Linked DNA regions of Diceros bicornis minor. The protein of the gene in region 1 interacts with the protein of each later gene in a pairwise test. Links are inferred from orthologs where the notes say so. Each region holds a gene or a part of one and is shown in the gene's direction. Other genes may lie near its edges.

Evidence for each region.
Region 2: the proteins of NDEL1 (region 1) and MIS18A interact in binary tests that used the Homo sapiens proteins (3 or more experiments, as listed by UniProt). The link is inferred for Diceros bicornis minor from reciprocal best matches to the Homo sapiens genes NDEL1 and MIS18A.
Region 3: the proteins of NDEL1 (region 1) and PKP2 interact in binary tests that used the Homo sapiens proteins (3 or more experiments, as listed by UniProt). The link is inferred for Diceros bicornis minor from reciprocal best matches to the Homo sapiens genes NDEL1 and PKP2.
Region 4: the proteins of NDEL1 (region 1) and CCSER1 interact in binary tests that used the Homo sapiens proteins (3 or more experiments, as listed by UniProt). The link is inferred for Diceros bicornis minor from reciprocal best matches to the Homo sapiens genes NDEL1 and CCSER1.

The regions. Positions count from the first base shown.
Region 1 is NC_080757.1:10,012,937-10,020,096, reverse strand, and holds the start of NDEL1 (nuclear distribution protein nudE-like 1), read left to right. Parts: upstream 1-4,156; 5' UTR 4,157-4,319; intron 4,320-7,160. UniProt on the Homo sapiens protein: Required for organization of the cellular microtubule array and microtubule anchoring at the centrosome. May regulate microtubule organization at least in part by targeting the microtubule severing protein KATNA1 to the centrosome.
Region 2 is NC_080766.1:32,924,837-32,932,222, reverse strand, and holds the start of MIS18A (protein Mis18-alpha), read left to right. Parts: upstream 1-4,370; 5' UTR 4,371-4,399; coding exon 4,400-4,745; intron 4,746-7,386. UniProt on the Homo sapiens protein: Required for recruitment of CENPA to centromeres and normal chromosome segregation during mitosis.
Region 3 is NC_080756.1:31,062,205-31,069,585, forward strand, and holds the start of PKP2 (plakophilin-2), read left to right. Parts: upstream 1-4,365; 5' UTR 4,366-4,412; coding exon 4,413-4,635; intron 4,636-7,381. UniProt on the Homo sapiens protein: A component of desmosome cell-cell junctions which are required for positive regulation of cellular adhesion.
Region 4 is NC_080747.1:73,989,654-73,997,538, forward strand, and holds the start of CCSER1 (serine-rich coiled-coil domain-containing protein 1), read left to right. Parts: upstream 1-4,869; 5' UTR 4,870-5,243; intron 5,244-7,885.

The DNA.
Region 1 (7,160 bases):
CCTGGTTATGTTTCTTTATAGCACTTGTCATGACCTAACAGAAATAAATTTGTCTACTTGCTTATAGTCTGTCTTCCCCATTAGAATATAAACTCCATGGGGGTGGGGTTAGAGGGTGGAGGAGGGGTATGCTTTATTATAGTTACATGGTTGAATCCCCAAGGCCTACAACAGAGCAAACACTAAACTCATAGCTGATGAATGACGTTCCTCTCTCTATAAAACCACTTCTCACCTCAAGGTCCAAGTGTGTAATTTTTTAAATGAAAAAAACTATTATTATTATTACTATTTTTTATTACAAAAGGAAAAGATGTTGCTTTGGGGATTGTAGGTGCTATAGACTGGGTTTAAGATTTGGGCTAGAGAAAAGTCATAATTGCCTAGGACCCCAATCCTGGTTCCTTTGTAACTTGGTATCACCTAAGTTCAGCCTTTCATACCAGGGAAAATCTTGTCTCTATATGGTAATTTTTCTCAGAATTTGGGGCATTTTCCAGAAAGTGCTGTCAATCTTGCATTTGGAGTTCTAGCCACCAAACCATTGATTCATTCTTTCACTTTCATTGAAGCATATTAAACAAATGTTTGCTAAGTGCCTGTTGCTGGGGGATATTAGGACAATCAACACTGTCCCTGCTCTCAGCGGGCTTTGGTTCCTTGGGGAAGCTCAGACACCTCCATGACCAAAAGGCTGTGTTCAGTAAGTCTCCTGTGAACTATGCGGGGGCTCTACTTGAGCTCACAGGAAGGAGCACTCACGTTAGGTATCAGGGAAAGCTTCCTGGAGGAGGTAGTATATGAGTGAGACTTCAAAAGGCAGAGGGGCAGGCTGGCCAGGGAGCCTAGGAGCAGCTGTAGTGCACAGGGCAGTGGGAGTCAATAAAAGGCCCAGAGAGGAAGGGAGCTGTCCATTTGGGGGACAAGTGGAGGGTCTGGTCAGACACAGATAGGTGAAGTGGGTTGGAGTTGCTTTGGAGGGCCTGGAATGCCTGACTTTGTAGTTTGTACTTTATCAAAAGGAAACAGGATGCCAAAACAAGTTCTGGAGCCAGTGATGCTCTGTACACAGTGAGATTTTAGCAAGATTATTCTGATGACTGTGTGGATTACTATGCTGAAAGTAGAAGAAATTCGAGGGAGAGAAGTTTGGGAAGGGAGGGACAGACAAGTAGGAGGCTTTGGACTGGGAAGATTTAGGGGGAAAATACTGGTAAATGGATTTATTTGACAGAGTTATGAAGGGCAAGTCTTTCAGGTTTGGTGGCCATGTGAGTGAAATGAAAGCTGGGAAGGGGATAATTAAGGGTGATTTGACAAGACCTTCGTGCCTTAGGGGCCAGGGGAGTGATTACACCATTGGCAGAAACATGAAAATCATTTTGGAAATTTCAACTGGGGCAAAAGGAGAATCTGTTTGGGGTTTAGACATGAAGAGCTGGAGGTGGTGGTGGGACATCTGGTGGACATATACAGCAGGCCATTAGTAACCAGCCTGATCTATGCCCCTAAAGTTTAGCAGAAAATACTGGCCAAAAAATACGGAGAGATTGGGCTGAATCAAACCTTTGATTTTCAGGTGTCTGCTCACCTGATTCAGTGGAGAGTTACACATGCCCCATCTCCTCAGAGTTTTCATGACAGGCTTGGGTGCACGGCGTCACCTTTTGTGAGTGTGGTGGGCTGGAGTCCAGCATCCTCATTAGCTAGAGTTTGCATTGGTGTCAGCTGGTCAACCCACACCTCCCCCAGTGGTGGAACCTGGCCTCTGTTTCCTGAGTCTCAGAGTTTGTGGCAGGGAGGATGTTGGGATGCTTGTGCGTGCTCTCAGGGACTGTGACATTGACCCCTTGCGCTCAATCCAAGAAAGATCCTGTACTGGGACCTAGGCCTCAGCAAACCCCTTCTTAATGGTTTATGAAGGGAGAGGCTGGGGCAACCCTCACCCACCTTTTCCACCTTCACAAAGCTGATTTTGTAACTCTTGTTCCCCTTAGAGGCTGTCTTTAGTCTTCACTTCCACTTTATTTTCCCTGGATGGGCATCCTGGAAGCAGGGAATGGGGCAAAGGTGGCTGTTACTTGGGAGAAAGCTCAACCAACACAGAGGAAGGAGATCAATTATAGGGCTTTGATACCTCTGAGGGCCCTGCCAAGCAAAGCCCATTCATTAGGATGGGGCCGACATACCAGTCCCGACAAACACCAGTTCTGGGTCCAGGCTGGGTGGGAGGGGTGGTGGCCTGGAAGATGACGTCAACATTTTCTGCAGGGCCTGGCCTGCCATTAGGTGACTCAGTGTATTTCCCAGGACTTCAGCCAGGAGGCAGGGACCAGGGTTGCAGCCTTTATTTATTTTTCCCTCTTGAGGCGGGACTGTTCTGTCTTGGCACTAGGTTCACAAGAAAGCCTTCCTGCCTCATCATCTCTCTGCCTGTGATCTCATCGGCCAGGGCACAGCTTCGGCCAGGGAAGCAGAGCCCCAGAGCCTAAAAGAGCTTCCATGATGTCCCAGGTCATTGGGCTTGGAATATGACCTGCTTAGGTTTAAACCCCACGTCCTCTGGGCCTCAGTTTTCCAATATATAAAATGGAGGTAATAATTTCAGCCTCATAAGCTGCTTGTGAGCTTGAGGGAGGTAATGTATGTAAAGCACTTAGCACAGTGCTCCAGCCCAATAAATGGTAGTTATTATTAATAGTCCCCTTTCTTGAGTGGCAGTATAGCAGTGGTCAATAGTGTGGTTTCTGGAGTTAGACAATCCAGATTAGGAGGGTTTGAATCTTGAGTCCTCTTTTTTCTTGTTGAGTGACCTTAGGCAACTTCATCTTGCTGAGTTTCAGCTTCCTCATTAGTCAAATGGGAATAACAACAGTACCTATCTCACAGGGTCGTTGTGAGGATTAAATTCTGCAAACCAAGCGTTTAGCACAATTGCCAGTACACACAGATGAAACAAAAGTGAACTATTCTTATTATTATTATCATGATCTTTTCAACCCTATATTATTCAGAGTCCAGCTCAAGGTGCCACCCTTCCCACAAACCCCATTAATCACGTCTCTGATCTTCATTGATTTGGACACCTCTTACAACCCATTTACATTGTTCCTATTTACGTCCATTTCCTCAAAAATCTAACTGGACCTCCCAGGCTCACCTTGCTCTCACCTTGAGGCCTTACAAGTCATTACTGTGTCCCCAAAACCCACAAATCCAATCCCCAAAAACACTGACCTCAGAGAGAATTACATTGTGCATTACACAGCAGAAGTTCCTAAAATTGTTTTTAAAACAGCTCTATTCCTTCATGTTTCCACTTCCTAAGCAGTTGCCCACCCTCATTTCTCCCCTTTCTGAGCTACTCCCCCCTCAGCCCTCTTCCCTCTCAAGTTCCCTGGACTATAAAATGAATTCCTAGTCCTATAAAATGGATTCCATTCTTTAGGAGTCCCAGGGAGATGAAAACACACACACACACACACACACTTAAATAAATAAATATAAGCTTAGCTACATAAAATATATAAATGGATATTTATATTCTCTTGGTGCCCTCAACGAATCCTTTCATTCATTCAACAAATATTTGAGTTCTCATTTTGTGTCCAGAACCAAGCAAGCTATCTGTTGGACAAGAAAGGCAAAGGAGGTTCTAGCTCTCATGGAACTTACATTCTGCTGGAGGAAGACAAAAACAAGTATAAAATTTCCAGCTAGTCTAAGTGCCGTAAAACGGTCTTTCTGAGAGAGAGGGATGAAGGGCACTAGAACACCCCTGGTATTTCGTAGGGTGGTTGAGGTTAGACTCGAGGTGAAATCTGAGCCGACATTCATTTTATAAACGGGAACACTGAAACAGACACCTGAAAGACCTTGGTGGCTGAAAAACCGGGAGGCAGAGTCTCATCCAGCGTGGTGCCATTGTCCGGAACAGCAGAGAGTTTTTGGGAACCTCGAAAACCGAACGCCCCCACTTCTCGAGGTCCGGGGGCGCCTGCGCAGAGGCGGCCGCCAGCCTGACGTCAGCGCGCCGGGCCGACCCGGCCCCCTGTGACGCCATCCTCGCCACAGCCCCGCCCTGGCCGCCCGCGCGCTCGCGCGCATGCTCGGAACCCCGCCCCCGTGCGTCACAGAATGGCCTCGGACACCCAGGCAGCCCTTGACGTGTCGGGGAGGAGCTGGGCGCGGAGGTGCGCGGAGTGGAGCTCGGGGCTGCCGAAGGGAGCGGAGCTGAGCGGCTGGGCGGGCCTGGCCAGGCCAGCGGAGCGGAGACGTCGGTCGAACGGCGGCGAACATGCGCTTTTGACACATTGGAGGTGAGCCTGCAGTGCGGGGCCGCTCCCGAGGGACCGGGCCGGGCCGGTGGCGCCGAGGCCTGTCCCCGGGAGCCTGCCGGGCCCGGGGGCTGTGTCTGAGGCCCCGCCGGGCTGGGCCGGGCCGGGGCAAGGTTCTGGGCGGCCAGTCCGGGGGCAACTGTTCCAACCGCTCTAACTGCCCCCTCCACGCCCCGGTCCCAGGGGTGGCCCACCACCTGGAAGGGGGCGAGCCGGTCCGCCTCCGGAGGATGTGCCGCGTCCGGGGGTGGAGTGAGGGACGACCGGGACGGAGGCCGGGACGTGGCACCGTGGGCCGGGGCTCTGGTGGCGCAAGGAGTGGCTCAGTTGGAGGTGGCAGCGGCGCGCCCAGCCCTCCGCCTCCTCCCCCCAGCCCTTCAGCCGGGAGGGTGGTTTGGAGCCAGGTTGGATTTTGAGCTCTCGTCGCTTCTCTGCTGTGGCGGGCGAGAGCGGAAGCAGCCCACGTTGGGCTCCGACGGCATTCCCGTGACTCCCCGCCCCGAACTGCTAGTCGTCCGTTTTGGAGTTCAGAAAAGTGTCACCAGACGGGTTCGGGTTGCTTGTGCTCTCCTCTTTTTTTGCTGGTAAGCAACCAAGTAACCCTTTAAGTTTTGTCAAGAAAGCGAGAGTTCTTTACTGATTATTACCTTCCGTTTCTGTAGCGCCTTCACACATTTCAGAACATTCTTGCTATCTCTTTTGAACCTCATCATCCTGTGGTTGTGCCTGATTCTGTTATCGCCATTTGACGGATGGGGAAGTTGAGCCCGGCTGGGGTGGGGAGTATTAAGTGATTTATACTGTGGATTCTGCCAACTGGTGAGTGGATTCGCTTGGATCAGAATTTACGTCTCTGGGCTCAAAGTTATGGTTTCTCTTTGTGGGATTTTTATACTCGTCTCAGCTAGAAAGCAAAACAGAAAATCTGACTTGCCAAAAATATACCAGAAGCCTAGTAGAAGATTTATTCAAATATTTTTGATCGGACTTACTTAGGATAAGAATTGCTACTCAGTTAAAAGAAAAATCCTACTCTGAAACTTGTTCACGGGTTGCTGGCTAATTATTTTGTCTGATATATTGTGTTGCTCTTAATCCACTTATGAAATAGGGTCATGGCTTAGCTAAATCATGAAGTTGGTGGGATAAAATGCAGCATTAAGTCTTGGGTTGAAGAGAAGTAAAGGAGAACTGAGTCCAGATCTCTCTTGTGGATTTTTATCAAAATTATTATTTAAAATTAGAGGTCATAAAGAACAAAGAAAACCTTTGGATAGCCCTGGTTAGAGGTTGACGTAGCCCAGATAGAAATTGCTAAATCTTAAGAAACTGTTCTTTTTTAGTTCTGTTTTGACTTTTTAAATTAAATAAGTTGAAGTTGGATAAGGAACACTTAAGATAAGTAGAAACCTCAGTAAAAACGTACATCTTGCTTTCATGACATCTGTAAAACTTATTTTTCTTCTCATTTTAAACCATGTGGAGATATATTTGGTTACTAAAGCTTAAAATTACTTCTGACATAAGTTACTGAGCACTTCATAAGGTAGAAAAAGAAGTTTGACAGTCAGGACAAAAAGGGAGACCATATTTATGATGGGCTTTGAAAAGTTAAAAATTCTGTAAATATCACCTTTGGGAGAAGTAGAAGAATTTTGGTAAAAAGGTATGTATTACCTACAGTGAGTTCCAAGAGAACTCTTTTAATCTCATTAGTCCATTCTACAACTATTAACAAGAAGCAATATCATATAAAATGGATTTTCTTACCATTGCACAAAGAGTAGTTTCTTTGTAAATACAGCATTTTGGACAGGCTGTTTTATACCCAAATAAGTGGATTTGTCAGTTGCTAGATAACTGGCAGTCCTATACAGTATGATAATAGCCCATGTAAAAGTCAGCACACTTTTGAGATGCACACTCCATCCATATGAGACGTGGTATGGAGGGAAGATTTGGGTAGCAGGGGAGAGTACCTAATTATCTGCCTTCATTTCAGCTTCAGAAGATTGTAGATGTATCATTAAAGCATTTTTTTTAGCAGTATGGTTTTCTGTATTGGCTAACTTTCTATAGCCTTAATATCTCCAGTTACATAGTTTCAGATAACACAGTGAACACATCCTCCCACTGTAACTTGAAGCAAACTGAACAGACTGTCTTTACAGCCCATGAAAAGGTCTTTTGGATATCTGCAGTGGTAGAAAATTTGTAAAAAATCTGATTTTTGGAAAGGATAAGTCTGATGAATAAAATTAGAATGATAAAGCTTGATAATACCAATTAGGAAGCAGTAAAAATGAGGTGTGACCACAAAGAAAGAACTTTTTGTTTAGTTTTTAATCGGGCTCTTCAAGACTACACCAAAAGAAATTTTAGAAATGTTTTCAGTAATGGTGCTATCACTGGAATATGCATATAGCTTCCAGAAGTGATTAATTTTAAGGATTCATTTATATATTATAAATTCTGAAGCACATTTATTTTGTGGTAATACTTCAAAGGTCCATGACTGAACTACCAGTTTTTTATCATTTAATGAAATTTATGCTGTCTTTACTATATGCCAGGCTCTGTACTAAGTACTTTACAAATATTAACTCACTTAATCTTCGTAACAACCCTATTTTAATTATTAGCTCCATTTTACTGATGAGGAAATGGGGCACTGAGTGGTTGAGTAACTTGCCCAAGGTCACCCAACTAGTGAGTAGAGGAGTCTGATTCAAACCTAGGCAGTTTGGCTCCAGGGTCTGGGCTCTCAACCACTGTGCCATGCTGCTCCTACCACTTGTTCCCTGGTTAAATATTTTTAATTGC
Region 2 (7,386 bases), on another chromosome or scaffold:
GAATTTCTGCTATTGTGTTGAGAAACGCAGTGTCCCTGCTTTCTCCCATGTATACATGTTATTAAACTTGGTATTATTTTCTCCTGCTAACCTGCCTTGTTGATTATTTGGCCAGCCAGAAGAACCTTAAGGGAAAGGGCAGAGGGAGATTCTCCCTCTTCCCCCGACAATATTAAGTCAGACTAGCATTTGTTTGTGAAGTACACCAAGGCTTTTGAACCCAGCCAGAACTGAGGATTGAATCAGGTAGTCTGAGTAACGAGTATGTTGAGCAAGAAGGACTGAAGGATAGAATCAAAATGGAACCTTATTTTGAATTTTGCTTCCTACTATGCCCTTAGAACTTATGCGGTGAGGATAGCCTTCCCAGCACCCCCGGATGAGGACAAGGGCAATGTGTGTGGGGTTCCTTCTGTTTGCCCCTCCAGATCCACCCGCCAACTTGACTTGTATGAGTCACATCAATATGCTCCATGTCCTCTGGATTCCAGCTGGATTTGGGCAATCAGAGCTCCAGCAGGAAATGGGAGGGAGAGATGAGAACAAGGTCCAGGAATTCAATCTCCCATCTCCCTCTCTGTGAGGTCACCTCCGCTGGCTGTGTCCCTTGATGGAAGGGTGATCTTCTTAAGGTGGTCTGCTCTTCACAACTCTCTTTCTTTCCAGGTTCTAGTAACCTCTTCCTCCTGCTTCCCTGTGAGTTAAGGGAGGGAGGGTGTCAGCTCCAACGCTGTTAACCTAGGGTCCTGCGCTACCCCTCGAGGTTCTCTCCTACACGCTGTCCACACCCTTCTCCTTTGACACTTTGGAAAGAAACTCTCCCCATATTATCGGAATTGGAGCGTATCCTCTTAGGGAAGAGGCAATTCCACAGCCACTTTAGTTGCAAACAGAATCTCAATGAGGGAATGATGGTGTCCAGTCCAAGACATTAATCAACACTGCAATCTTCACTCTAGGAAAAGAATTGCTGTCCTCCTCCCCCAAGTAGGACATGTAGGTGGGCCACTGCCCCTGCTGGGGGTGGGGTGTATGGCTGGCTCTGCTCTCTTCCTCGCCTCACCTGCTCCCTGCTATTTCCATTCCTAGGCTGAAATGGGGGCCAAAGGGGACGGGACAGTTTTCACTTGAATTGGTTCTATTATAACCTGGTTTTGCACCCTCTGGCCTGGCATGGTTAGAACCAACTCTCTCTCCCAGCCCCTCAGAAAATCCCTGCACCCCCACCCCCAGCTGCACACCCATGAACCAGGAAGGTCTCTCTTTGGGCTGGCTGTTCCCCACAGCCCTGGTCCTCTAGGGGCCCTTTCATACTTGGATGCTCACTGCTGGAGAATCTTCATCCTTCCAGGTTATCTTCTTGCGCAGAATTTAAGATTCTAGATGACCTTCCTGCCAGCAAAGTTCATATCTAGTTGTCAGTCTATCTGGCTCACCTTTGTTGTGCCACCAAAACAGCTCAACAGCCCGATTCTCCTGCGGGCCACTGTGTCTGCAAACACCTGGGAACACAAGGCTTTGCGATTGGTTCCTAAGTCTCCTCTCAGCCAGACTGAAGCAAGGGGGCAGATATTCTCCACTTTCTCTATTGGGGAGGAGGATTGGAACTCACGACTCAGCCTGTCTCCAAACAAATCGTTATGAGGTCATCTCAGTCACCATTTTTCTCCTGTCTTTAATATTCTCAAAATATGGGAGAAAGTTTAAGGGCAGAAAGGATTAGTTCTCCAATATCCACTCTGAAGATCCCTCCAGATGTCTCTCACACACTTTATGTCATTTTTACCTTATCTTGTATCAGTCAAAATCTCAGTTTTAACATACTGCAACAGACTGTTACGTATGCTTTTAATGGCTAGTAAAAACAATCAAAACAAAACAGTTCAAACTGGCTTCCAAAATAAAGAAAATCTGGTGGCTCACACAACTGAAAAAGTCCAGGGGTCAGGTGCCCAACTTCTCTGTTATTCTCTCAGTGCTGCCCTTCTCCAGGTTTACAAGATGGCTGCCTGAAGCAACCTGGGTATGTGCTTCCTTGTTCATATCCGGGGAACAAAGAGGACATCTTTTACCTCAGCCACTGAACGAGAGTCTTAAGATTTACTCTGACTGGATAAAATTCGACAACTTAGGTCAAGTTGTTATCCCAAGCCTATTCCTAATGCTACGGGAGCACCATGACCTGATTTCCTTAAACCTGGGGTAGGAGCCATCCCTGCACCAATCGCTATGGAAGAGAGTTGGGTTATCCTGACTGGGTTAAACCTCTGGGGACTCATTCCTAGAATTGGTGGTAATGGTAGTGGAGGTGATGGGAGTTGGACTTAACCTTATTCAAATCTCCTACTTGTATAACTAAGAGGAAGGGTGTGAATGGTTGTTCAGGAAGCAACTACAACCACTCAGTCCAAGGTCATTTTCCTCAAGCATCCCATTTTGTCCCCACACAAAATATGATTTTGTGGGTATCTAAATATTTTATATTCCTAATACAAACATACTTGTGACTATAGAGGAGTTCACTTTGCACTGGGGCAGACTTCTCCATTAGGCACAGTGCCTAGGGCCCACGATATTTTTAGGGCCCCATGAAATATTTTAATTTGTTCTAAACCTGAAAAATAAATGAACTTTTAGGTCAAAGAAATGTTTTAATATATAATATTTATATATTCATCCTTATAGCAATACAGTTGTAAAATATAATTTTTATCGTTATTGTTATTTTTTATGGAGGAATGGGCCCACCAAGGCAAAAGTGCTTAAGATGCTGAAAGTCATGAGGCAGCCCAGCTTTGTATTCCTTCTTTACTGAGATATCCCACCACAAAATTTAAGTGTTGCCAGTAGAAACCCAAAGTCTGAGGCAAAGAGATGGTCCTTTGAATTCCAAGGTTACTACCCACTTAAAGAACAGGTGTGGGTTGTATCAACACTGTACAGAGACATTGTGCTTGAAAACAGCAGTCCAGGGAGGTCAGGCTAGCTTCCACAAAAGAAGCAGAAGGAGGGAAGGCAATTCTAAGGGCAAAACAAAAATCTAAAATATTTGAAGCCTTTTCTTCTAGTTGGAGGCTAACATAGGCACAGTGAGCTAAAATATTTTTATGCATATTACATCGCTTGATCCTCATAATAACCCCCACACAGTACTGACCCATTTAATCCACTCAGGGAAGGCAAATAGCCTTTCCACATTGTTAGTACCTTGTGGAGGGGTAGGTCAACCCACGGCTCCTGACTACAAAGCTTTTGCTTTTTGCTAGTGGCCAGAGGCACTAAAATTGGATGTAAATTTTTTGTAAATTGTTTATCTGACCAAGCAAAGTGGGCAGTGACTTAGGGCACACCCAAAGGGTCTTTAAGAGCAGACCTAGATCCTTGGGCGTACCCTTCTTCCCAGATGTGCTGCCAGGTTGTCGGTGACACAGCTGGTCTGTTCCCCACCAGCCTTTCTCGCCCTAACCTCTAGTGCTTTCAAGTCAGAGGCTGGCTTTCTGGGGCAGCTGAGGAAGTCTGTACTTGCCACCCAGAAGGGATGCTCACTCCGTGCAAAGGCCGAATGGCTCCCAGACCCAGACAGCAGAGGAACTTCCATGCTTTCCAGCGACACAGCTGCTGCCCACACTCGCTTCTCCAGCTTTTTCGTTGCAGTGCTAGCCTGAGTGACCTGGGGCCCTTTCCTCGGTCTTGTTGGAGCAATAAGAATGTACAAAAGGAAGGTGGGACAGGGTGGCTCCCCAACAACCCCTGCTTTCTCCACCTCGAGAGAGGTGGAGAGTGGCCATATACTGACAGCATCAGCATCACCTAGGAGCTTGTTAGAAAGGCAAATTCTCGGGCCCACCGCACCCAATGAACCAGAATCCCTGAAGACGGGGCCCAGCAATGTGTGTTTTAACCAGCTCCCAGGTGAGTCAGGCACGCTGAAGTTTGAGGGGCTGTAGCATCTCGAGGAGGGACGAGGCCATATAAAGCAGGAGGGTGCCCCAATTCCTCTATCTCTGAGTGGTGTTGGGGCGGCGCATTCGCTTTAGTAACCATGTGAAGGTCTCGGTGAGGGGTTAGTATTTAGTTTAGTTTGGGGCGCGTAACTTTCTCAAGGACGCCACCGCTCCTATGTAAGGTGCTGAAGCCCCCTCCCACGTAGCTTGGCTGCCCTACCTCCGGCAGCCTCAACTTCCCAGGGAAGGAAAATCTGACGCAGGCGCAGTGATTACCCGGCCTGGCTCAGCCCGACGAAGAGCATGCGCGCTAGCTGATTGCCCGCCGTCCCTCCTCCCCTGGCTCCGCCCCTCAGGCCCCGGCCCCTTCTCGGCCTCCACCGCCTCTCCCCTCCAGGCGCATGCGCAAGGGCGTTTTTCCCGTGGCCCTCCGCGGCGCGGGCGATTTGTAGGTAATGGCGGGCGCTTGGTCGTCGAGCTGTTTCAAAGGATGCTCCTCTACTAGCTGTGCGTGCGGCGACAAGGGCAAGTGGAGCGGCTCCTCGCTGTTAAGCAAGCGGCTCTCGGAGGACTCGAGCCGCCACCAGTTGCTGCAGAAGTGGGCGAGCATGTGGAGCTCCGTGAGCGGGGACGCGTCGGTGGCCTGCGCGGAGAGGACGCGGCGGGAGGAGACGGTGGAGCCGGCCGAGGAGGAGGAGGACAGGCCGCTGGTGTTTTTGTGCTCCGGCTGCCGGCGGCCGCTGGGCGACTCGCTGAGCTGGGTGACGAGCCAGGAGGACACCAACTGCATCCTGCTGCGCTGTCAGTGCGGGCCGGGGGACTTGGGGCCGCCTTCTTCCAGGGGCTCCGTGGGCGGCTCCAGAAGAGGCGGGGTCGGGGGAGGGGGGTGGCGGTGGTTCCTTGAGGCTGCCACGTCGGGGTCTTTAAAAGCAGGAACATCTGAGAGGGTGAGCTGTCCTAGGAAAAGGGGAGAATGGTCATCCCTGCACCTTGGGCTCACTGTCACGAGTGACAGTTCCTTTTCTGGGGTCCCCGTCCTAGAGGAGCAGCGGATGAATCAGCATCGTTGTGAGCATTACTCAGAAAAAAATGACCAACCAGGTTGTAAGCGTTTGGGGTGTAGCCACTCTGTATTACTCTTCATAGAAATTAGCGGGCTGTTAATTGGTAAATACGTAGTATTGTTAATCATTTATTTAGGAAATTAAGCTTTTCAGCTACCTGGTTCCTGCAGGGAGATGTCGGCGTTGATTTCTCAAGTCTTATGAGTTCTATCAGCGGAGGCTTTTACAGTCTGAAGTGTTATAATTATAGAGTTGACAGAATACAATGCTATCAAAAAAATTTTAAAAAGAAGGAAACTTGCAGTAAAAGTACCAACAACCCCATCAAAATTAGAAAGAAAGGAGGAAGATAATAAAAGAGTTAAGGCCAGAGTTCTAGATTTTTTTTTTAAATTTTGTTTATTGCAGTAATATTGGTTTATAGCATTGTATAAATTTCAGGTGTACATCATTATACTTGTATTTGTGCATAGATTACATCATGTTCACCACCCAAATACTAATTACAACCCATTACCACACACATGTACCAAATTATCCCTTTCGCCCTCCTCCCTGCCCCCTTCCCCTCTGGTAACCACCAAGCCAATCTCTGTCTCTGTGTGTTTATTGTTGTTATTTACTACTTAGTGAAGAGTTCTAGCTTTTAATCCTGGGCCTACCAGTTACCTGTATTTTTTCCACTGTTCCCTCGTATTGTTGCTTTCATAGTATTTATTTAGGGGAGTGGTTCACATGTATTTTTTCTGAATTGGTGTAAAAATGGCTATTCTTTTTGGACTGGTGGTTTTCAACATGAAGTTTATGGTCTGTCTGAATTCTATGAATATTTTGATAACAGAAATTTACCACCCATTTATTGACGGTTGTGGAATATTTTCCTTCCTGGGATATAATATTGGGAAGAAAGGAGCAGTGTCCACCAGTTACTTGGAACTTTTTGGGACCTGCTGTTTTCTCCAAAATGCATCCGTTCATTAACAATAATTGCTGAGTCCCTTTCAGTTGTTAAACGTAGGCCTAAGAACGTACATTACCCATAGTAATTCATTGGGATTAACCCTTTGTGCCTATTAAAGTCAAACAATGCAGAAAGGTGTAGAAGTAAAAAGGATTTATTCCCCTGACCTGACACTCTCATAGCCCTAGAGTTCAACATGCCTTATTCTCATTTATACTTCCAGATACACTCCATGCCTGTATGAGCATATATAAAAGAGTAAATTTTTTAAAACACACTTGAGATTATATTATTTATACTGTTAAGCATCCTTACTTTTTTTATTCCACACATATAATCTGAATATTTTCCCATATTTCCCATATCAGTGTATGTAGATAGTATACTTCACGTTTTTAGCAGCTGCTTTGTGTACCTTTAACGAGAGGCAGGCAACATAGCGTGGTGGTGGAGGCCCTTGACTGCTTGGGTTTGAATCCTGCCCTGCCACTTAGCTGTGTCTCTTTGGGCAAGCTACTTAGCCTCTCTGTGCCTCAGTTTCCTCCTCTGTAAAATGGGGGTAGCACAGGGGGCAGTTAGGTGGATTAAAAGAGTTAATGTGTGTCATGTGCTCGGAATACATAAGCAAGGGCCGCTTAAGCAGTTTGTTTAGTGGCAATGCCGTTCATCCTCCCCATCTGCCCCTGTTGATAGAGGTCTAGGTTTCCAGCATTGGCGCGGCTAGCACAGCATGTGTTTAGGTTGAGATTTTTGATACAGTAGAAGCCCTTGGTTTTAGTAGGTGAGTTTATCTTGTTTATAGCTTTTAAAAAAATACTATGTTTGGTGTTAAATCTTTCAATTTACTTGTACTTTCTGCTTTTACAGCTTCTTTTCTATCTTTTGCCACATGGGCTCTTTGTTTTGTTTTTATATATAAAAACACTATTCTGTTATTTAGTTTTTCTATACCAGTATTTAAATTTTAAAAACAATCAGCTTTAGACAATGTGATTTAACCACCCCCCCATAAAAGATAAAGAAATGAACTCTTGGATTAATTTTCATGCCCTCCTGACCCAATCGGAGTTTAATTATTTTTACTTTGTCAAGGTTTATAACATTTACATTGTTCTGTAGCCATAGCGTCGTCATTGAGCCTTAATATAATGTCTATGTGAATTTATTTCTCAGCTCCGGGACTCTTATTAATATAAGAAGGCTTATTAATATCTTTTTCATTTCCAAGTTGTTTATTTGATTAATCATCCGTGGTCTCCCCATCCCCAAGGAAACTTCAAGTTTGAGTGTTTGAAAATGTCTTGTATGTGAATGTCAACTTGGCTTCATGTACAATTCTGGGGTCATGCTCTTTGCTTTTTCCTGCCACAGGGAGCAGCTAGTGGAAAGGCCTTGAGGCTAGTGTGGCCAAAGAGTA
Region 3 (7,381 bases), on another chromosome or scaffold:
AAGGTAATCATTTTAACTGATATACCCAGCTCATATACGCCCATGAATCATGATTAAAGGCACTGTCTCAAAAGCCTCAGTAACTATGAACAAATTGCTCATTGCCAGCCCTCAGGGTTGCCCACCTGGTTTCCACCTCCCACACCACATTTGAGGTCTTTTTAGAAGAATAATTTTCAGACCTACACACTCCAAACACTATATAGCCAAAATAGCAGACAAAATGAACATCTGTATTAAAGATAAACACCTTAATGCTCACTGCTGTTGAAAGTCCCCATCAGAGAGTGATGTTCAGGGCCTACGTGTTCAAAGTTTCCTTTTCCAGTGCCGATAGTTTTGTCATATGTGGTTAACGATAAACTGATACTGATTGCCTTGGCAACATATCCATTTGCTGAAAAAGGAAATAAAACCCATGGTTCATTTAAAACTTTCTATCTGCCAGGTTTCTTACAGTAATTTAGGAAATACTTTTTAAAAGCAATAGATATTAATAGCCTACAAATAGTAACAGGAAAATATTTCATGAGAGAAGATACTCATGAAAATGTGTTAGAGTATTTTTTAATATGAATCAGAGAGTTTTGGTGCCATTAATGTTCTTTAATGTTCCCTATTAAAATATTTTTTCTGAGGGCCAGCCCCATGGCCTAGTGGTTAAGTTTGGTGAGCTCCACTGTGGCGGCCGGGGTTTGGTTGTCAGGTGCAGACCCACACCACTTATTGGTGGCCATGCTGTGGTGGCGACTCTCATACAAAATAAAGGAAGACTGGCACAGATGTTAGCTCAGGGCAAATGTTTCTCAGCAAAAAAAAGAGAAAAAAATATTACTTTTGCTCTAAAATTTATACTATATTTAGTCTTACAGTAACTTCCTGACTCTTTGCATACTGGAATTTCCCATATTGGAATTTATATATGGTTAAAGAAAATAAAGTTTACTCTGAGGAAGCCCTAACTGTAGATTTACAAACAATAAAAGATCAGTGTTTTAAGGCTGTAGTGCGTAAAGCAGATAAAAATGCAAGTTTAAAACTCAAGAATTTTTTAATCATTCTTGTAGGTTTCCACCAGCAGGAACTGTAGCCTCATCATTCACTTATCTGTTATTTACATTCTACCTCAACTTTGGTTCCTCTGCTTTTGCTTTTCTTTTCTTTTATCAGATTCTGTTGGTAAATGAAAAGAAATGGAAGAGTTTTCAAAACTGAACCTAAATACTAAAAAATCACAGATTGTAGAACAGCCAAACACCACAAAAGGAGTCATAGCATTTCATTTCCATGCTTCAATTTGTTGGCTAGAAGCTGCCTTCAGCAGTTATCTCAGGTCTGGCTCACAATTTAGGAAGTCGGCTAGGCAGCCTTCCCGGGAAACGCAAAAAACATGACAGAGCCCGCACTCTGTTGGAACAGAAGCACATCTAGACTACGTTTGGGGGCACAATGCCAGAGTTTGCATATTTCCTTACCCTGTAATTAACTCTTGCTTTTGAAATAGGATTCTCACTCCAAGGGGATCCTTTTAATGAGTTTATACATTTATCTTATTTTCGAAGAGATTGTTCTACTGAATCATTGAATTCTGAAAGTATTCAAAAATTATCTCAGTTTAGTTTGTTGTTTATAACAGGGAATATTACATAGCCAATTAGTAGAATACCTAGAATATATAGTGATATCTACGGGACTTTTTAAAGATGCTAACAAGTTACCAAAAGAGTTCGAAAGCCTAAAGAATTATTAGACTAACAGTTGTTGAGCACTCATTATACACCATGTAATATACTAAGTGCTTTCATGCATGATTCATTCATTCATTCAACATGGACCTGTTGTCTACTATGCGCACTGTTCTAGGTCCCAGAGAACAGCAGTGAACAAAAAAAATCCTTGCTTTCATGGAGTTTACGTTCCAGTAGGGAAACAATCAACAATTAAATAAGTAAAACAGAAAGCATGTGTAATGAAAATAAGTGCTATGGAGACAAATTAAGCAGAGAATGGAGATAGTGAGTGACTGTGTGTGTGTGTGTGTGTGTGTGTGTGTGTGTGTGTGAAAGAATCTCATTCAAATGGTAAATTGATAGATAAGCAGAGATCAGAAAGAGTTGAGGAAATCTGGAAGTGGATCTCAGGGGGATGCTTGTTAAAGAGCACTGAACAATTATTTATTGAGTATTTCTTATGAACCACTTATCATTTAATCCTCACAGCAGCACTTCATCATCATTGTAAAATGCTTCCATTTTACAGGTAAGAGAATTGAGGCTTAAAAATGCAAAGAAACTTGCTTAAGGCCACACTATGTACAAAGGGCAAGCTACGATTTGAACCCAGATCTGCCTCACTCACAAGCTGTGCTTTTAACCATCGTCCTCCTGTCAATTCACCAACTGCCCAATAACGAAATTTCTACATGCTCAATATTGGTACCTACCTAAGAAGATAGTCAATTACAACATCACACTTAGAAAAAAATCCATTTGAGAAGAAAAAAGTGAATGAAGTTTGGCTCAATCAAATAAATAAATGAGAAAAATTCCTCTCCACTCTGCTGGTGAGGGTTCTGATCTTGTAAGTTACAGCTCTCCAGGCACAAAAAAGGAGATGCCCCACCTGACCCTGTGGGGGCAGGTACTGAAATTGTCTTTCAAAGCAACACTCTCAGGCCTGCCAAAAGAGGCCACCAGGAGGGGGAGAGGAAGAAGAAGGGGAGAGGAATAGTGTTTGTTGTTGGAAATCGCTATCATCACTTCCCCGTCAGTTCACCCCTCTCTTTTCAACTGAGTCTCAGCATGAGGTTTGGAGGTTTACATCTGGCTACATAATTGAGCTCTTCACAAGGTATAATCTATCTCAAGACTGGTCCTGCTGGGATGGGAGGAACTGCTTTCAAGACCCACCATCCCCATGACTCCACTTAAGCACTAAATTCCACAAGGCCTTAGCCATGTGGTGGCTGAGAAAGGGTGGCAGAGCTGTCACCATTCCGTTGTCAAGGCTTTGGGCCCCTTGATTTTCTCTTTGCTCCCTTGGAGAGTCGTATACCTGTGCATTAAGTGTGTGTGTAAAGACAGAAGGGTGTGCATAGGAAAATGGGGAAGGGGGAAACTTTCTCGGCCACTCCAGACCTGAATAAGTGTGGTTTTGCAGCAATTGAGTGATTTGAGGAAAAGTGAACATACTAACCCAAGCAATCAAAGGGAAGATTATCTTACTTAATACCAGGAGTAGATGTTTTTCTTTTTGCGTGTCAAGTCCAAAGAGGAAAATCAGGACGAGTGGCTTAGGTTGTAAACCTTAAGATCAAGGACACTTTCCCTTGAGCTTAGCTCTCAAGTTCTCAGTAGTCAACTACTCGTGAAACATAATTAATAGCACGATAAATATAAGTTGTGGAAGATGCAATTGAAAGTCAGAGGCCCCTTCCATGGGCCCCCTACAAAGAGCCTATCATAAAGAGGACTTAACGTTAGCAGGGCTAATAAAAACTATCAGCTATTAAAAGTGTGCTCTTCCCTAGCACCTCTTATTGGAGTTTGTCTGTGTGGGTGTGTTCGTAAGAGAGGAGTGGGTGAGCAAGAGTGTACTGGGTACGATTTGTGTATCTGCATGAGAAAACAGAAGCTCTGGATGAGGAAGAACATATGTTTCTGGGACTGCATCTGTGCAAAAAGAACACGGCCCCTGAAGTTGTACTAATTTAAAAAATAAACTATATTAAAAAGTCTTTTATTTCACACATGTCATCTCGGCACATTTCTCTCCTATCGTCCTTTCCGCCTGACCCAATAGTCCTTTCTCACCCTCAGGTCTAGGAAAACCATGTAATGTTTCCAACAGTCTGACAGAGCCTGCCTAACCAGCTTCACTCGGGGACCCCAGAGGCAAACCTCAGCAGCCCAAGAACAGAAGTGACTCTCCAGGGCGCACCTGCCTGGAGGCGGCCCCTCCGCAATCAGGCATAAATCACATCCTTTCCGAGGGCTGGGAGGAGGCCGAGCAAGGCAAATAGAGCCAGGCACGGCGCTAGCAGGCGGCATCCGTGGCGACTCGGAGAGTGGCGCGACCTCGGGCAGACCGCGCCCTCTCCCACCTCCCAGCCGGCAGGTCCAACTAGCCAGGTGTCGGCGCGCGCGGCCCGCCCCGCCCCGCCCCGCCCCGCCCCGCTCCGGGCCGAGTGCGCGTGCCCGGAGGGAGCCGCGCCCCCTCCCCCGGGGGAGGCTGGGCGCTCGGCTCTCGAGGCCGCGCTCCCCCCGGCTCGGGCCTCCCACCGGCGCGGGGGGCGGGGCAGGGGGCGGGGCAGGGGCGGCGGGGCGGGGCTCGCGCCAGTGCCCCCTGCTCCTCTGCAGCTTCGTCTGCAGGTCTCGCGGCAGGCTAGCTGCTCGGTCGCCTCCTCCGGCCCCATGGCAGCCCCGGGCTCCCCAACCGAATGCGGCTACATCCGGACAGTCCTGGGCCAGCAGATCCTGGGGCAGCTGGACAGCTCCAGCTTGGCCCTGCCCTCCGAGGCCAAGCTGAAGCTGGCGGGGAGCAGCGGCCGCAGCGGCCAGGCGGCCAAGAGCCTGCGGATCCAGGAGCAGGTGCAGCAGACCCTGGCCCGGAAGGGCCGCGGCTTCGTGGGCAACGGTGAGTGGAGCCCCGCCGGCCCCTGGACGGCCGCGACCCTACCCCCTACCCCTTTCCCTATCCCTCCCACACCTTTAGCACCCTGTTGCTTCCACTCGCTGCTTCCTGAGGGTGCGGGACCTGGGGTTCTGCCCACCTGTTGCTCGCCGTCCCTTTGTATGACCCGTCGCGCCCCAAGACTCAGACCGGCTTACTTGGGCAAAGCACTCTTTTCTAAAATAATCTCTTACTCAGTTTTGTCATATATGTATCTACGTATATTAAATGCACGTATATGTCTATGTGAAAGAATTCAGTCCAAGATTTTTCACCCCTTCCTTAACCAGCTCCCCCTGCGCGCCCCCCCCCGGGGCCTTAATCTGGAGGCTCCCGAAGTCTATAAACACTTTGAAATTCTATGCAGAAATTTGGTATGATCATTTTTCTGGGAGAAAGTGCCCCTAGCTTTTATTAGATTTTTTTTTAAAGAGTCTATGACCCCCGGAAATATTTTGAAAAGAAAACCTGAAAGTTCTGGCGCTCCTACAACCTGTAAATTGGGGTTGCGGTGCCTCGCCCAGGTACTTTGGGGCGCTCCACCCAGGGTGCGGAGCGAGTGCTTGATCTAGGAAGTGAAAAAATTGGGTAGAAGGCTTTGGGCCAGGGAACAACCACCCCACGCGCGGAGGAGGAGGAGGAGGAAGAGGACTTTGTCCCCGCCAGCGGCAGCCCGGTCCGCCTCCCTGCGCCCTGGCGACACCCTCGTGGGCACAGCCCTAGTCTCTCCAAAAAATTAAACTTGGAGTTGAAAGGGGTTAAAAAAAAAATAAAACACTATATTAGTAATTGATAGTCGGGGGAGGTGGAAGAAGATGGCAAACCAGCTGTGAAAATTAGAGAACATGATATATCATTTTCTCTCCTGTTAATAGTCAGAGGATCAGAGCCACACAATAACTCTTTTATTAGTTGTTTAATTTATGTTTTTCATTATAAAAGTATTATAGGCCTATTATAGAAAAGACAAAAGGAAAGAAATTGAACCATTAATTCAGTTGGGATATCAGTTTGTTTGCCCGCAATGTTGACCTGTTTCTCTGGGAAGTCACTTGGGCAATGGCAAATGCAGAACCCACTAGGAAAAAGAAAAATGCTTGCAGACCAGACCAGAGATTTAAAACAGCAGACCCTGGGAGGCTGTATTGTTTTCAATTTGTGTAAAAAAAATCCTAAAGAATCAGGCAGTCAGTGTTTACATAGTTGAAAGGCAGAAGATGTTAATGATTATAGTTAATGTAACTGAGTGCCTACTATGTGCTAAGAATTGGACTGTGTGGTTTACATTCACTATATTATTTGTGTTTCAAAAAAAAAATTTATGAGGTAGGTGTTTTAATCCCCATTATACAGATGAGGAAACTAAGTGGTTAAGTAACACTCAAGTTCCCACAGATAGTAAATGGCAGAACTGGCATTTAAACTACTAAGCCGGAATTTTTAAACCACTGATCAGTTATATTGTTAAACTTTCGGGTTATGAATACAAATTGGGATTTTTATTAGACCCTAAGCCTCTCTATGACCCCTCCCATTTTCCTCTAAATAAAATTGAGGTAGTCCTGAGAGAGTGGGGCGGTCTGAATAGCACAGAACTGCCACAGTACGTGGAAAAAAAGAACCTAAATTTACATGTGGAAGTCAGACTAAAGACTCCAGGATAACTGAGGTCAATTTTTGACCAGTAGAGTCATTGCACTCCATTAGTGTGCGCAGGTCCAGTGCTAAACTGGAACCAGAGTAGCTTCTGCTGCTTGGAGGACATAAGGGGGATACATATTAGATCTTCTTTCTTATGCTATGAGAATGGCTAGTCAGAAAGAGCAATGAGACATCAACTATTCAATAAATGGGGGGAATGAACAGAAGGAAGGGGAGTATTGCTGAGCGTCTCCTATGTGCCTAACCCTGTTCAAGAATATGTTTGCGTTTCATTATATCCTTAAAACGATTATATAAGGTAGATAGGAGGATCCATTTCACCTAAGAAGAATGTGTCAGTCTCTCAACATTAATTGGATGCTTAGTCCCAAACCCACACATGATCTCTTTTCTATCACGTGGTGAATTCATGTTGCTTGGTGAATTCAAGAACTATCAAATGAGTCTGTTCTTCACGTGGAGGTGCTGAATTAAACATAGACTCTGCTTGCTTTAAAACAAGGAGTTTAAAGTCTGAAGAAGGAAATCTCCCCCTAAAAAATGAGATATCAAGTTAAAAATGGTAACCAACCCAAAAGAACAGGTAACACATTATGGAGTTTAGAAGTATGAGTTAGACTACCAGCTGAAGGGAATTTTGAAAAGCTTCTTGGAGGAACTGAGATTTTAAACCATAAAAGTTCAATAGGATTGGACATAGGGAGATGGTTGGAGGAAGAGCATGCTAGGAGGGAACAGCAGGAATATTTCATCGTCGGCAGAATTGATACAGTAGAACAAAGGACATTGTCCTGGTGCTTCTGCTCTAATGCTCAGGGCAACTGCTTGAGTGGCTCTTCCAACTAAGGAACAAAGCGTTTGAAATATTTTTGATTACAGCAGGAGCTTCCCAGCAAGCTGAAATACCTCAGCAGCCTACACAGAAGTGCAAGTCAGTCAGAGAGATAAGGCAGCACACAACACCTACTTACTTTAAAGCCTCAGCTTTTTGAAACTCCAAAAAGTAATCGACTTCAAAGGAATTTGACATCAACATGCCATGGAACAA
Region 4 (7,885 bases), on another chromosome or scaffold:
ACTGCCAGTATAGAAACTGACAGATGGTAAGACCAGTTTCCAACCTGCTTAAGTATTGGTTTAATATGGTTTAGATTATTTTATTAGCATCGTCTAGTTTTACTATATACCTACATAGTACAAGAGTATTATTACAGTTTTGTTATAGTTCTTCTATTGTTATAATTAGATCTATTTATATGATTTATACACAGATTTATTGTTATAGTTTCAGATTTTATCAGTATACTATTTTTAGAGATGATTTAACTGATGATTTCTCTAAAAAATGTGTCAAGTTCTATTTATTTTAATGAAATGTCTACAAACACATAGATGCCTGGGGACAATCATAATAGAACAACTCAAAAGCCCAACAAAAAATCACTTTGATAGATGCAACACACAGACATCAACAAATGAACGAATTAACTGAGTTAAATATTTTTTTAATATTGCATCAGAAGAGACAAATATTCAAACATGAAAATTACCTCATGAGAAGGTAAGAAATCTTGAGGTCATTAATTTTCCGAAAGACCTCATTAATCACATTTGGAAACAGAAACAAAGATAAGGAAACTATACAAAAGGAAAGGTTTCTACTGGTAAATCTGCTTATAAAGACTCCTTTGGTTTTATGTTGATAAATATTATTTTTAATACAGTTTACTCCCCTTAAAAAATAGGTGTAAATTCAGAGAACATCAATGTTGTTGTCAGTTCTCACCTCCTTCCGCCACCTCAACTTTTCTCAGTTGGATAGCCTCCCCTGGAAATTCAAGGATTATCCTCAGTCGCTGTGTAAGCGATACCTCTCCATAGCCTCTGCTTTCCATCCTCTCAGCCCATTAAATGGGCTTAGAATTAGATCACTTTGTAAACTTGGGACCTGGAAGCCCAGTGACAAGGACAGTGGCACACATTCACCTTAATAGTCTTGCTACCACGTCTGCGCCATGGGACGCATCCTTGGTGTCTGTGTAGTTCTCAGATCAAAGACAGCTCACGCAGTGAGTATTTTGACCCAGTCACCTGGGCTTAGCTTCTGCCAAGGATTCCTCTCTGAAATCCTGGTCGGTTGACCTGCTAGGCCTTTTAGTTTCCTCCACAGAGCAAGAGCATGAATAGATCCTGCTGTTCTGCCACGAGGCAGAATTTCTGCTGCAAAAAGGCAATTTACCAAGTATAGTCACCACGACCGGATTTCTGAAAAATAATTCTATCTAAATTCTTGTCTACTGTGCCTTGTCTACCTGGCAGGTTGCCCCAGTTAATGCCATATTAAGACTGAGTTTTTCCTGTGCTCTCTGGACCCTGAACTGCAGCTGAGTCAATCCTCCTGTCTCCTACTCCACACTTTCTCATCAGCCCTTGTTCTCGAACCGAGTGCAGATTTCAGCCTTGATCTCCATTGAAGGCTCCTGTTGTTCTAAGGTACCATAATGCCACTTGCATGTCACAACAGTTGTCACAAAAGAATAATTTGGCTTTTAGTAATACAGAAAAAATCCAGAATGTTAATACCAAATTTTAATCTTTTTTCTTTTTTGCATTTCTTTTATACTACTAGGCTAAAGCAAAGCGGAGAAGTGGCCTTCATCGAACTTTCTTCATAAATGATTGCATAATCATGATAGGGTATGAAGTAAATCAAAGAATGATAAAATAGCTAGGACAGGAAAAAAGAAATGTAACTTTTAAATTTATTTTCTGACACTTCATCTACAAGCATTGTTTGCACATTTTAAAGTTAATTCACTTTCTAAAACATCTTATGAATTTCATTACAGTAATAGGGTTGGAAAGAAAAATTACCTCCTTTACCTTCCCTAGGCACTAATTTTACTTCTTAGGTACCACTACTGAAGAATTTCTAATTTGGCTCATCACTTCGGTGGGAATTCAGTGCACATAAGGGGCACATATGTAATTGGCAACCTAATTTTTCTGCTTTCGTCAAATGGTGCAATGCCAAATCTTCATTGAACTTGCCAGTTAAAGGCACTTGGGAACCAAACAGCAGCAAGCATAAGAGATGAAAATGAACAAATTGGAAAGAATCATTAACTTTCTGTTTTCCTATCACAACAAAAATTATATCATTGAAAGTATAGCAAAGTGGGAAATTCTACTTGAAACATTAAACAATCTTAAAAGAGAATAATGCATTCTCTTAACTTCTAAAATGTTCATTATAATTTATAAATGGGATTTCTAGTACAGATTTTTTTCAACAAGAAATACAAAATAGTTAAAATGAATCATATTTTCATAAGTGTGTTTTAGGTTATATATTTTCATATCTTTCTGGTCTAGTGTCTAGGAATTTTAGACTTTATTTGGCAAGCAAAATTGTTAGAAAATTAAGCAAGAAATGTTGGCTTTATTTAATACCTTAATGAATAAAGGCAATTGACAGATTGTCATGGTCTCACTAATTATGAATGCAATTGAAAGTGTGAAAATTACAATCAGTTGTGGTTACCAAAAATGCCCTTGAAATATCCGGTCTAATATATAATTTTGAAGTATGCAATATAGAGTCATTATTAAATTATCATTATTATTTAACTTTTAAATTATTTTTTATTGAGGTTACATTGGTTTATAACACTATATAAATTTCAGGTGTACATCACTATATTTTGATTTCTGTGTAGACTACATCACGTTCACCACCCAAAGACTAATTACCATCCATCACCAGGCACATGTAATGTACACATGTACACATATCATCACAATAATAAATTATCATTACTGGTAACAATTAAATAAATAGAAAACTGGGACAATAAAAGCACCAAAAACTTGCCCAATATGATTGAGCATTGTCCTTAAAGGGGGACAATTTTTTAAAAATGTCTATTTACAGCTCTTAAATAAACCACATATTTATTCGCTAAGTGCAAATGTTCAGATCAGGAATATCTCTTCTACAAAACTTCCTTTTGCAGCAATGCAAGATTCCTTTAGTGAGGACTTTGGAGGAAAGCTTCCTAACTTTTTTCATTTACAAGTCCAAGTAGTTAGGACTTTTTAAATCCTTGCCTAACCCTAAAAAGTGAACATTTTGTAAACCTCTTTTGAATTATAAAAGGAAGGAAAGAAGGAGGGAGGTAGAAGGAAAATGCCAAAGGATTGTAGATCAGCTTATTTCATAATTATCAAAAGCTCTAAAGAAACCATTGAGACTTTTGACTAAGCCAGGAGCTGTGAATGGGAGGCAGTATGGACAGTAAGAGTAAGGCAGACTGAGGTTGAGTTCCAGCTGCATCACTTAGTCTGTATGTGACCTCAGGTTAACTACCTACTGTCCCCAAACCTAACTTTCTTGATCTGTAAAACTGAAGAAACGATAATAGCTTTTTCACAGGGCAGGCACACATTAAATCCCAATACACTTTGTTATACATCCATTTTCCAATGCTTAATCAAAGGAGCTAACATGATATATATCCACTGGTCCCAACTTCACTGCCCTTTCTTGATTATATGCTTAAGCCGCTGTTAGTGGACTTTAATGGACTCTAAACTTTTTGTATGAGACAGGAAAGAATTAGGGAAAAAGAAAATCAATGTCAAAAAGGGGAAATATATGGAGAATATATAATGGGCCTCCATATGATAAAAATCTGAAGACATAGCAATGGTCATGAGCTAGTAATCAGGAGAGAAGATATAACAACTGAGTTGTCAACCTTGCCACCACCTCCCTAGCCTCCTAAATGTTAACTTCCTTTTGTCACATTTATGAAAAAAAAGTTGTCCCCCAAAGCAGGGTTGTCCTCTTGCTAAAATACACATCAACCACTAATACTCATTCAAAAAGTACACCTTGCTTTTACACCCAATATATTAACATTTCAGAAGTAAGATCATGGCCAGATTATTTAGAACACACACAAGCAGACACACACACACACACACCACACACACAGTTAAATGCATTCCATCTGCTGTGTTGCCTGCTAAAGATGTAAATGTATAGGAGTGGCGATAAAAAAAGGGGGATGGATGGGACAGAGTTCAGGACCCGTGCAAACCTGAAAGGAAATGAGGCAGGGCCATGGGAGAGGGGATCAAGGGAAAATAAATTAGGTAAGTAACACCACCATGCATCAGAAGTCTTGGAGACTCTAAACTAGCAAATTTTCTCCAGGGGGCCATCAGTCAAATGATGTCAAAATGGTAGCTGGTTCTGTTTGTAAATCCGTGTTGTCAAGGAGCTTATGTGTGGGAACACAAGTTCCACTCCAGGTCACAGTCCCAATGCTCCCATTATCCTACAGAAGAATTGAAGCCCTAAATGGTTCCTGGGAGGTGTGATCTGCTTAGACGAAAGAAGCCAGGTTTCTTCCCTTGCTGCCTTGGAGAGAGGAGACGTGTAAGGATATGAATAGGTAGGGTGAGAAAGAAAAGAGGAGAAAGAACCTCACAATTTCCTCCCTGAGAGGTGGAAGAGAAAGATTACATCTGTGGTTTGGCGAGAAAAGATGCAGTGCATTTTCAGCATCCCCGCGGTCCCTCTGCAGCGCTCCAGACTCCCCCCTTCCCTTGTCTTGACCTGCCAATGCACTTGGACTCGACTTACGCACAAGGCAGGACTGAAGGGGGAGCCAAGTCAGCACGGCCGGATACGGTTTCCCCTAAAATGAAAACTCAGCAGCGCTCCAGCAGCGGGTGTGCGCGCGTTAATGTGTGAGTATGCGTGCGTGGTAAACCCGCGGACGCAGTTGGCCGGGCGCCGCCCTCCAAGCCACCCCCACCCCAGCCCAACCCCCCCACCCCGATCCCTATAAAGGCCTTGGCCGCCGCCGCCCTCCTCGCAGTCGGGGCGCGGGGCCTGCCGGGGAGGTGGCTCAGGGGTCCCCGCACAGTCACACTCCGCGCAGTCACACACTTGGAAGCGCCTCCCCACGTCCCTCCCCTGCCCTCCTCTTGCTCTGCTCTTCTCTCTCTCACCACAAATAGTCGCCGACCGACTGCCAATCCGCCTCCCTCTCTCTCTCAACAACATGACTGACTGGGAAGCGGTGGCTCAGGCAGAGCGGCTCTGCTGGCGCAGGCAGGCGGAGCAGGAGGATTATTAAATAACGCGGCTCGACTCTGTGCCACTGGGACTGGAGAGAAGGAGCCCAACAGCCGAGAAGGGGAGGGAGGGCAGAGGAGGGGGAGCAGAGGAGACACCCCCGTGCCCCGAAGACATAAATCCCTGAGTGCCCGGGAGGAGCCTTAACAAGCGGCGCGGAACCCTCAAGGTAGTAACGCCCCCGGTGCCCCCGCGCCCTGAGGGTCGCGCTTCGCGTCGCCGCCGCGCCGTGGCCGGGCCCCGGCGGACGCGGGGATGCCCGCCCGGCAGGTGACCGCGCCGTGCCCGGGCCGCCCCGGAGCAGCCCAGCCCAGGCCCAGGGCGCCGCTGCGGGCCCGGCGTGCGCGGCGCGGGGACCTGGCCCGGCGGGCGGGGCGGGAGGGAGGCGGCCGGGCGCGCTCGCCGCCGGCCCCCGACTGCCGGCGCGCTGCGTGGCCTTTTCCTCCGCGCCGCTGAACGCCCTGCGCCCCCCGGCCGCGGCTGCAGCGGGATGCGGAGCGCGGCCGGCCGAGGACGCAAGAGTTGGCGCAGGCTCCGGGCCGCTCCCCTCTCTGGCCGCTCGCGTCCCGCAGGTAGGGGCGGCCGGCTCGAGCTGGCACCCGGGCTGCAGGCGCCGGGGCGGGGGCCGGCGGGGAGCGGGAGGGGAGGGGAGCGGAGGGGAGGGGAAGGAGGGGGCGGCGAGCCGGGGCTCCCGGGGGAGCCGCAGTGCCCCAGCCGGGACCGCCTCTTGTCTCCGCCCGCTTGTCCTCGGGCGCTGGCTTCCTGGGTTGGAGACGAGACCCTCCCCAGCGAACAGCAGCGACTTAGTGTGAACAAATTGCTTTGTGGTGGCGCGTCGAGGGCTCCAGGGAGGGGTGTGTGTGTGTGTGTGTGTGTGTTCGTTCGTGTGTGTTCGCGCTCCTGACTAATCAATGCGCTGGTTCACCTGAAAAGAAAATCAGTCCTGAGGTGAAACCGCAGGTGGCCCCTTGGGCCCTCTGGTCTTTTGGCTTGTGTCCCAGGGACTCGTACACGCGCTGCTATCAAGGGGTAGGGGTGCGCGAAGGGGTGACGGAGGGATTTGTGAATGGTGCTTCTCTGCGCCTGGAGGCTGAGCCTTGCTGATGTAAAGGAGGAGGCATCCAGAGTGAGAAGAAAGGCTATTTATGGCAAAGAGTTGTGAAATTTCTCGGGGTTTCCTTCAGTGTATCCTGAACTGCTCTCTGTCTCCCTCCTTCTTTCTCTCTCCATTCTCTCCTCTCTTTTCTCAGAATTCGAAGCAATTCTGCTTCCCCCTCCACACCTCGTGGGACCTGGAATATGAAATGAGGGAAGTCAGAAAATCCCTTGTCTTTTTAAGGCAGTAAAAACATGCTTCTCAGAAGTCACTGATCTCTTGCCCTTTAATGTTTTTATGTACTTATTCTGCACTCCTTTTAACCTTTTCAGGCCCTCCATAGGACCCACAGGACAGAAGGTACCTACTTGGTTTCAACAGCTTTCATTTCTAGTATCTTTACAGTTGAATACCTTCCCACTGAAATGTAATATATCCTCCATCCGTATCCCTAAGAAAGGCTATTAAAAATAATGTACACATTTTACTGTAAAGCTGGTTTTATTAAAAGCCTTGGGGAGGAGAGAGAAGCAGACGTCTAGGTGAGTTTATATCGATTACTACTGGTTAAAAACTAGCTATTAAGAAAAGACCTGAAATATTATTAATCTAGGCTGCAACACAATTTGTTTTGGTTTCTCTATTTGCTTTGTAACAGGTACACATTCCAGACATAACTTGAAGCTTCGAGGAGACTTGGGACAGAGTCCACCAGCTATGCTTTAGCAAATTTGTTCTTAAAAGCAGCGACCTGTGCTTTTATAGAACCAATGACTGGGTTGTGACTCAGGTACTAGGACAGTGTTCTTATTATTTTAAATTGGGATGTCTCTAAGCGCCTGCCAAGCACAATGTTTTCAAAACATTGACATTCCGTGTTGCTACCACCCCTTCAATAATTTCATGGAGAAGAAAGAGAAGTAAACTGGTCAACCTATTGTCAGAGTGATTTGTCTTCATTTGATATTAATTAAGGAGCTCCTTATTTTGATCAAAACATGCCAACTGTCGGTGTTTTTCCAGTGTGAAAGTAGCTTTTCTTAACAGTCCTGTTGATTTTGAAGACAAAGCAGAGTTAAGGATTTGTTATTTTGATTCAGTTAGATTCATATTGGTTTAAAATACATTTTCAACATTGAAGCATGTGCAGTTTTATATATTACATTAGAACTTAGATTGAGAGCACCACTCTCAGGGTTAACTTTCCTGAGTCATTGGAATGTAGAAATAATGGGGAGGTTTAAAATGTGCTGGATGAAATGTATTATTGCAATCATTAAAAAGTCATTTATGAATATTTTGTTCTTTGACACTATCAAAGAATCAGCAACTGTTTACTTTAATGATTATTTATACTATAGAATGTTAATTTATATCAAACTCATGTAGAAAATGAAAAATTCATTATATTTTATCATTATTCAACTCTTTATTGCCTTTTATTACTCAACATAGTACTCAAAGAGCCTGTCATGTGCAAGGTACTATCTAGGTATTGTGGAGGAGCATATAACTCCCTTGCTCCCTGCCCTTGAGGAGCTTACTCTCCAGTTGGGAAGAATCTGATGCTCATGCTTCAACCGAGTTAACAACCCGTGGCAATAAGAGATTGCATGTCTAAAGAGGACTGCAGGAGTTCAGAGCATGATAATAACAGTTCATGCTGGGTTTTGTCTGAAAAGGCTTCAGGTGTAGGTAAGACTTGCTTGGTCTTA